Linked DNA regions of Schizosaccharomyces pombe. The protein of the gene in region 2 purifies or fractionates together with the protein of the main gene of each other region. This does not show direct contact. Each region holds a gene or a part of one and is shown on either strand. Other genes may lie near its edges.

Region 1 (3,807 bases), on a different chromosome or scaffold from region 2:
ATCTAACGATTATTGAAGCAGCAAAGCGCATAGCAACCGTTTCGTTAGAAAGTAAGCTTCAATTTAACGAAAGCGACTACCTCCATCAGTTTAAGCCTGACATTATGGAGCCTGTATCTTTATGGATCAATGGAGCCTCGTTTCAAGAAATATGCATTGTCTCCAAGCTTTATGAAGGTTCAATTGTTCGAACGTTCAGGAGATTAGATGAGTTGTTAAAACAACTTGAACATGCTGCTATTGTATTAGGCAATAATGAATTGAAAGAGAAGAGTGTGTTGACTGAACAAAAGTTGCATCGTGATATCATATTTTCGGCCTCTCTATACCTCTAAATTTGTAGCGAAAGTTTGATATTGACAATGATCGTTTGGCCTATCAAATATGATTTCGATTTTGTGCAATATTCTTTTTATATATGTTAGTTTTAATTCTTTATTTAGAAGTGTTATCTACAGATTTTTATTGAATGTATAAAAAACAATATCATTAAATAAATCCTTAATAAGTCATCTACATATTTTTTAAACTTTGATATTTTGGGGTAGTATACTCATGATGGACTGTTGAGCGTAGATGAGTGATACAGACTTGGTGATACATGCAATTTAGATGAAACAGAGACAGGTGTACCATTGTAGAAATCAATAGTCAAATATTCGTGAGTAAACGAACCTTTAAGGAGTAAAAAAAGTTGTGAGCAACCTAGTAAATCTTTACGACTTTGGTTGCAATGTACTAAACATTTATTATGCTGTTGATCTTCTAGAATATATGAATGGTCAAGACAAAATGGCCAGCTGTTTCCCAGCGCTGGTTTGGAAAGGTGGAGTTGCTTTATGTACACAAGAGAAGTAGATAAGTATACTGCTAATCTGAATTTTCTGGTAAGGATTCGGCATTTTCTTCCTAAAGTCATCATGAATGCATGTGCAAAAGATATATTGCCCTGAGCCATTAACAAACCAATGGGATTAGAAAAGGAATCTATACACAATGCATATGCTTGATCTTCGGAGCTTTTGAGATTGCTTTCCAACTCATCAACTGCATCCTTCAATCCCTGAGCATCGAATGATCTAACCAACATAGTTTTTTCAAGACATGGAAGAGGGAGTGCAGCCGGATTGAAAGTACCTAAAGTATCAATCCACATAATTCTATCAAACCTAGAGTAATAACTTTTTAGAATCCAGTAAAGCATCAAGTTTGCAGAATTTCCACTAAATTGAGTAACCTGATTCATAATGTCAGAAAATATATAAGCTGCTTTAAGAATTTGCTTGGTATGCTTTAAACTTTCGATAGAATTGTTTTTTCCAACGATATTGATGATCAATGAAATTGATTTTTGCAATCATCCCCTGGTTATGCTAATGGCATTCTAAAAGAGATAAACACCCAAATGCGTTGAAGGAAAAGATACGTACAATCGTCAAAAATTTCCGGAATGTTCAACAAGTATTTAACTAATCATGAGTGTGTGTTGAATCTTATCTCATGTTTTTTGTTGAACTATCTACATGGATTATATTTAATTAGGGTATGGATTAAAGAAGCAGAAAGGTCGTCAACATTCGAGTACAGTATATAGCCACACTGGTGTGGATTTGTATATATTGAGAATAACCCTTTAAGAATAAAAAGAAAAAATAGAAAAGCATCAACTAACTGTTTTTAAATGCTACATATGCGAATTTAATTCTCTCTAATAATGCCATGTATTACAAGTAACCTCATGTATCGATTGATTTAATCATTATCGTTACAAAATTTTTATAAATTATATAATAAAAAAAAGGAATATTAACAATACATTATTTACCGAAGAACCCTATAAATTTGAACAGCACTGACAACTGTAAGAGGTAAACAACCATTTTTTCAAACGTTCAATGAGTGTGACACTCCAAAACAAATGAATCCCCAAATCCCAAATATGGGAGAGCTCTATACGATTGACTGCTGTTTTTTCCCCGAAAATTTCTTCAAGGTCAAAAATTAAATAGCACTAAATAGAAGAAAAAAACCCACCAAAGAAAATTATGAACTAATTTTGACCACACCTGTAATTCAATGTTTATGCAAAACCTTCATAAGAAAACCCAATACAACTTTTAAATTTTTGTTCCAATAGAGTTGCTTTTCAAAATGCTGCCTTTAAATAATAACAATTGTTTCATCAAATTTGCTCCTTCAAGACATAAGTGATTATTTTTATCGCACTAATCACTTGCATTTTTAGCTATAGTGTTTACCAAATATCCTTTGTACTACGGGACCTATCCATTAAATATAATTGTCCAACTTTACACGTAAGCATTGAAATCCGAAGGCAAGGATGCAGGAATCTGCATATTAGAGTAATGCGGAGCATTGCAACGGAGACAATTACTGCGGCGACGAAAATTAGTAAATCCACACTCACATAACCAATCGCCTTGATCAGTAGTAACGGAAGGACGTGATACTTCTTTAAAGCGTCCATGATCATCGAACCTAGATACATTACCACCATTTTGTCCCCCAAAATTTTGACCATGATTAGCCGTTACTGAATTTATAGAAAGTTGTGAGTAAGGATACACCGAATGATTAGGAGGACTTGTACTCATAACAGGGGGGATGTGAGAATATGAATTATGACTATACGAACCATTCACCGGCCCAGATGCATGATCTGCTACGACTGCAGCTGTAGCACGGCTAGCCCCACAGCGTAAGCAGCAAACATTTTTTGCGAAATTGTGATATCCACAACCCTCAGAGCCACATTTCCAATCACCAGCACGAAAAGGGACATTACCACCGAATGAGCGTGAAGAATGATGATGATTTACAGCATTATTGCCATTCTGATGCTGAAGATCACTTTGCATGGTATTTTCGTTAGAATGATGGACAGATCCACCATAGTTGGCAATAAAGTGAGAGGAGCCGTTGCCGTATGAATTTCCATAAGGGAAATCAGGTGAAAAAGTATTGCTACCAGTAGCAGCTGAAACATGAGTAGGACCAGGAAATGAGCATCGGAAACAAGACGTTCGACGTTGAAAATTGCTGAAACCGCACATTGGGCAATTCCAATCCCCAGGGCGTGGGCGATTCTTACTAGAAGGAAAAGGAATTAGAATGTCTGAAGCTTTATCTAAAACCTTTGTACTACTGGGAATAATTTCCAGCATCCGATCTCCTAAGCAATATCCATTAAAGGCAAGAGCATCGGCAGCATCTTCATGACTAGCAAATAGCACAAAACCTGTACCCGTAGATTTGTAAGGTTCGGGAGTCTTTAAAGTCCATAAAGCTACGGGATGAACCCCATGATTAGTAAACCAACTTTCCAACTCGAGCTGTGTTACATCGTTGGTCAAACCTGCAACGTGTACAATTTTTGACCGTTCTGCATAAAAGCTTCGTGCGTCTGCTTGACAGTTAATGGGTTGTGTAAGCACCGAAGGAAGAGAATGACCTCGAGAATCTTTCTCTGCTTTACGAAGCAATAAGGTGGTAGCATTTGCAAGGCGCCAGCATTGAGTAAGACCTTTGGTTATGTAAGGAGCATCTGAAGGTGATAATTCAATTGCTTTTGACTCTGTAATAGGTGGTAAAGAGTCGACATCTAATTTACCAAAAATATGAGAAAGCGTTATTGTGTATGGTGGTACTGCACCCATGCGAATCTGCCACTTGGCGTATTCGCTTGATAAATCAAACAAGCGAGGATGGCGCATGTAGGAAGGTAGCGTAATTCCCTGATCCCGTGCTTCTTTTGGCAATAATACACGAAGCTCTCTTCCATTCATA
Region 2 (3,965 bases):
CCCTGAGTAAGCTATTAAACACATGCCCTTTTTACAAAGTCGTTGGTTCTGGTGTATGCTTGAAGTATGGGTAAGTGAACTGGGTAAAAAATAATATTAATAAATTGAATGTTAAACGTTATGAAGAAGAAATAAAATTTTCAAATAAAAATTTTAATACTAAATTTAATACTTAATGAGGAAATAATAATCATTATATACCAAAAGATGCGAAAAGGCTTTCCTTTAAAGATTGTAGTTCTTCCAAAGCTCTCAAATGCATTTGTTCATATGCATAAAATAACTGTATAGCTTGTGACCCTTCCTTCCAATTATCAATTAATCGTGATTGTCCAGGAGTATTCATTAAGTCGAGTTGGAAGCATTTATTTTTGAAGATTTGCCATTGAAATGCATACTGTGTATAAATGATAGAATAAGACGACCAGCGTCTCTGATACATTTCAAAGGAATTTAGATAGCTATCTACAGAGGCATTAGTCAGGTTTCTCGGTGCCTCTGGAGGGATGGGTGCCTGGATAGTTGGAACGGATGGAGGTTTGGGCAGCACTTTAGCAACTTCATCATCATCCCCTTCAATGGCAAGGGATCTCAGTATCGACTGAAGCTGGTCATCATACTCAGTCGAGTTAGATGTTGAATCGTTCTCTGCGGACAAGTCATTTAGCTGAGACCGAGTTTGATTTCGAGAAAGAGAAGAAGATTTAGAACGACTTAAGGGCTTAGGGGGTAAAGGTTTAGAAGTGGGATGTCTAAATGGAATTTCAGGTTTTGATGGTGAATTATTATCAGAATGCTCAAGTTTTATTTCAGGTGTGATATCAGTTTGATAAACGGATGGGTGCTCTGGAGTGTTTGGAGAAGTAAAAATAATAGATTCTTCAGATGTATCTTTAAAACGTTCATTATTTGATGAAGAAGAACTTCTTGGAGAGGATTTTGTTATTGAAGAATTTTCAACACCATTGGAATTCAAACCATTGGATATCTCAGACAACGGAGTATAGGTGCGTCGCTTTTCACGAAGCGATTCTAAATACAACTTGGCATTAAATTTATTATAGTTAGGGCCTTTAAAACGAGGACTACTAGAAATTGGATCCACCACGTTTTCAGTAGCATATCCATTCTTCTTAAAAATTGGAGACGTTTTTGGATGCAAATAACCAGATGATATGTAGCTTTTTGAGGTAGATACCTCTTTAAAGCTATTGTTCTTTTCCATTTTTCCGGAAGCGGAAAAAGATCGATGAAGTGAGAAGTTTGTGATATTGTTATCTTTCGAATCTACGTTTTCCCGGTCTTGTTTCTTCTTTTTTTCAGCAAATTTGGTAGCCATTGTGACACTAACCTTGGATGCAACTTTCGTGGAAATATCATTCTTTGGTCCACTTTTTTTTGGACGGAATCGCAGCACCCCATCAGGGCGACCGGCTTCTAGTAATCTTCTTTGATCAAATAACTCTCGAAGCTTTGGATCCTTTAAAACTTCATGAGCTTTTTGTATCAACTGAAACTGTGGAAGAACCTCGGCTTCCCGACCGGGGTTACGATCGGGATGGTATCGTAAAACAAGCTTTAAATATTGCTGTCGAATTTCGACATAACTACTGGTACTTTCCGCTCCAAGGATGGTGTAATAATCCACAAATTCATCATGAAACGCCGTCCTCGCCATTCACGAGCCTTTAAAATATGCGACACCTTTCTTAAAAAGATAAAAAAGTTTGAAATTGGTTTATAAAACTTTTAAATTTCACCCAAGTAATGAAACCTTTGTAACTAACCGATTTTTGAGGTTTTCCTGAAACTGCTCGAAATAGTGTTTTCGACTTAAATTAACTTGTAAAACGTTCGTTCCTTTTTCTTTATTTTCGCAAATATTAGTTAAGAAAAATAAAACGAGTTAAAAATTTTAACGATTAAACTCTACTTTGTATCTTCTATACTTGACTAGAGCAAACAAAGACACCCCTCGAATTTGTGATTTTTACAACTTCATTAGTTTATAGCTTTGCTACGTGTTTTCCGCTTATTAGAACAAGCGAAAGCAAAGCAGATTTTTGCTGTTTTGCTTTTGGTAAGAGTTGATGAACAAAGAAGTAGTGATACTTTGAAACGAATTTGCTAATCTTTTTGAAGAGCCTATTCAATCATCCAAACTTGTCAGCATAAGTCAATAAATTAGATTATTATCTTCATTGTCATCAATTGTGTTTTCTGGATGTTGTTTGAGCTTTATGTTTTGGGGCATTGCTGAGTCTTAATAAACTTCAATGCAGCAGGGTCATTTTACTTCGAATAGTTACCACAGTAAAACTTTAAATAGTTCATCTCTACCTGTATCTTCAAAATTTTCTCACACTAATGATCCTGATGTTGAAGGCGTTGACAATGATAGTTTCTCCAAGGCATTGTGTAACAAAGATTTAGATCCTTCTTCCACTATTCGTTCAGTTATAAGCTCTTTATTAGATTCTTTACAAGATAAAGCGCTCCAACAGTCACCCAACACCTCTTTGTCAAAATTACTGTTGGAAGACCAGGATTTTGGAAGCTTGTGGTTGTCATTAAGTTTTATATTTTGTAACTACTGGCAACCTGCTATGCTGATTTTGGATTCTAAAAGCATTCATCCACTACCATTAACCGATGGTGAAGTTTTACATCGATGGGAATGTGAAGTGGATTCGAATAATAAAACTACGATTGATTTGAAGTATTGGTATTGTTCATGCTCTCAATTCTCTTACAATGCTTTTAATAGCTCGAGATCTTTTGACGAGCCAATGCCCAAAAATGAGCAAGAAACCTGGGGTGGAAGATGTCTTTCCCACCACCCTACGATTTGTTCCCATATTTTAGCTGCTTCGATTTTACGTGCTTGCCATAATCTGGTAATTTAAAAAACGTTAACCCAATTCGTTTAATTGTGACTTGACTATGATATTTAACAGTAAGGGCCGTTTAAATTGCTTTCTCAATGTAAAAGAAGAAAATACGATATGATATTCATACAACGTGATTAAAAAAAAATGTCTTATTCAGATTATGTTATGCTTTAGTTATGATGCAAGTTCATGAACCCTGAACTGGTATAAAAAAGAGAATATTGTAAGTGGAAGACGAAGCTAGCATAAGTGATTAAATGGAAAGTAAATTCCAAAATGTTCATGAAGTAGTATATGTAAAAATAAATGGTAAAGATACTCAAATTCGTTTATGAGCTTTTTCCTCTATTCCAAGATAGATATCTTGGATCGCCTACGCGTCTAGGTTTGATCAAGCAAGCAATACTAAGGATTACACCGCTCGCGGCGCAGAGCCCACCGATAACAAAATAAAGAATTCCTAAAAAGTAGTTCTTTCCTCCAATAACGGATGTTGTTGAAAACATAATAGTTTTCGTTCCTTTATATTCTGTGACAGGAAAGTTATAAGTGATATTCATTTCATAAATGCCAGGTTGAAGTGCAGTAGTAACGTTTCGAAGAGCAAGTTTGCTGAATGTTGGAAGAGCAGCAGCTCTCATCCAAATTTGAAAGGCATCCCATGTAGAAACATCGGGAATATTGTCGTCAGTATATCCATTGGGAAACATTTTTGCCCAATTTGGAGGTGGAACAATTTGGGAAGCATTGTACTTAGTTTTTTTGTATCTTTCTCTATCTTCCGGCCACGCAGTACCATTTGTAGTCATATTGTAAAGTCCAAGGGAATTTGAGCTATCAAAGGATTCGTATCGTAGAAGAGAAGAATAGCTATCGTTGAAAAGCGAGTTTGCGATAATGCCACAGGGGTAATAAGGTTTCCCTTCCTCATTTGCTTCTAACGGCTTGCAGAAACCATAGCTCTTCAGTTGTGCAACAGTTCGTGCTTCGCCTAGCAACTGAAACATATCGGCGCTAACAGTATATCGACGATGGTTTTGATAAAAATTTTTGAGACGATAAAAAGCAAACACG

Evidence for each region.
Region 1: the proteins of sws1 (region 2) and rdl1 purify together in Schizosaccharomyces pombe (affinity purification with western blotting, with the first as the bait; one study listed by BioGRID). This does not show direct contact.

What each region holds. Positions count from the first base shown.
Region 1 is NC_003424.3:2,007,596-2,011,402, forward strand, and holds rdl1 (RAD51D-like protein 1), read right to left. Parts: upstream 1,553-3,807; 5' UTR 1,247-1,552; coding exon 554-1,246; 3' UTR 501-553; downstream 1-500. Other genes in the region: exosome RNA helicase subunit Mtl1, read left to right, coding at 1-335; RNA-binding protein involved in heterochromatin assembly Dri1, read right to left, coding at 2,310-3,807. UniProt on the Schizosaccharomyces pombe protein: Involved in homologous recombination where it functions at an early stage of recombination in a pre-recombinogenic complex with rlp1 and sws1. Also has a role at a later stage of recombination in association with the rhp55-rhp57 complex.
Region 2 is NC_003423.3:1,492,876-1,496,840, forward strand, and holds sws1 (SWIM domain-containing Srs2-interacting protein 1), read left to right. Parts: upstream 1-1,954; 5' UTR 1,955-2,080; exon of another isoform or gene 2,081-2,142; 5' UTR 2,143-2,276; coding exon 2,277-2,906; 3' UTR 2,907-3,136; downstream 3,137-3,965. Other genes in the region: random septum position protein, DNAJ domain protein Rsp1, read right to left, coding at 194-1,678; aminophospholipid translocase regulatory protein Ivn1, read right to left, coding at 3,221-3,965.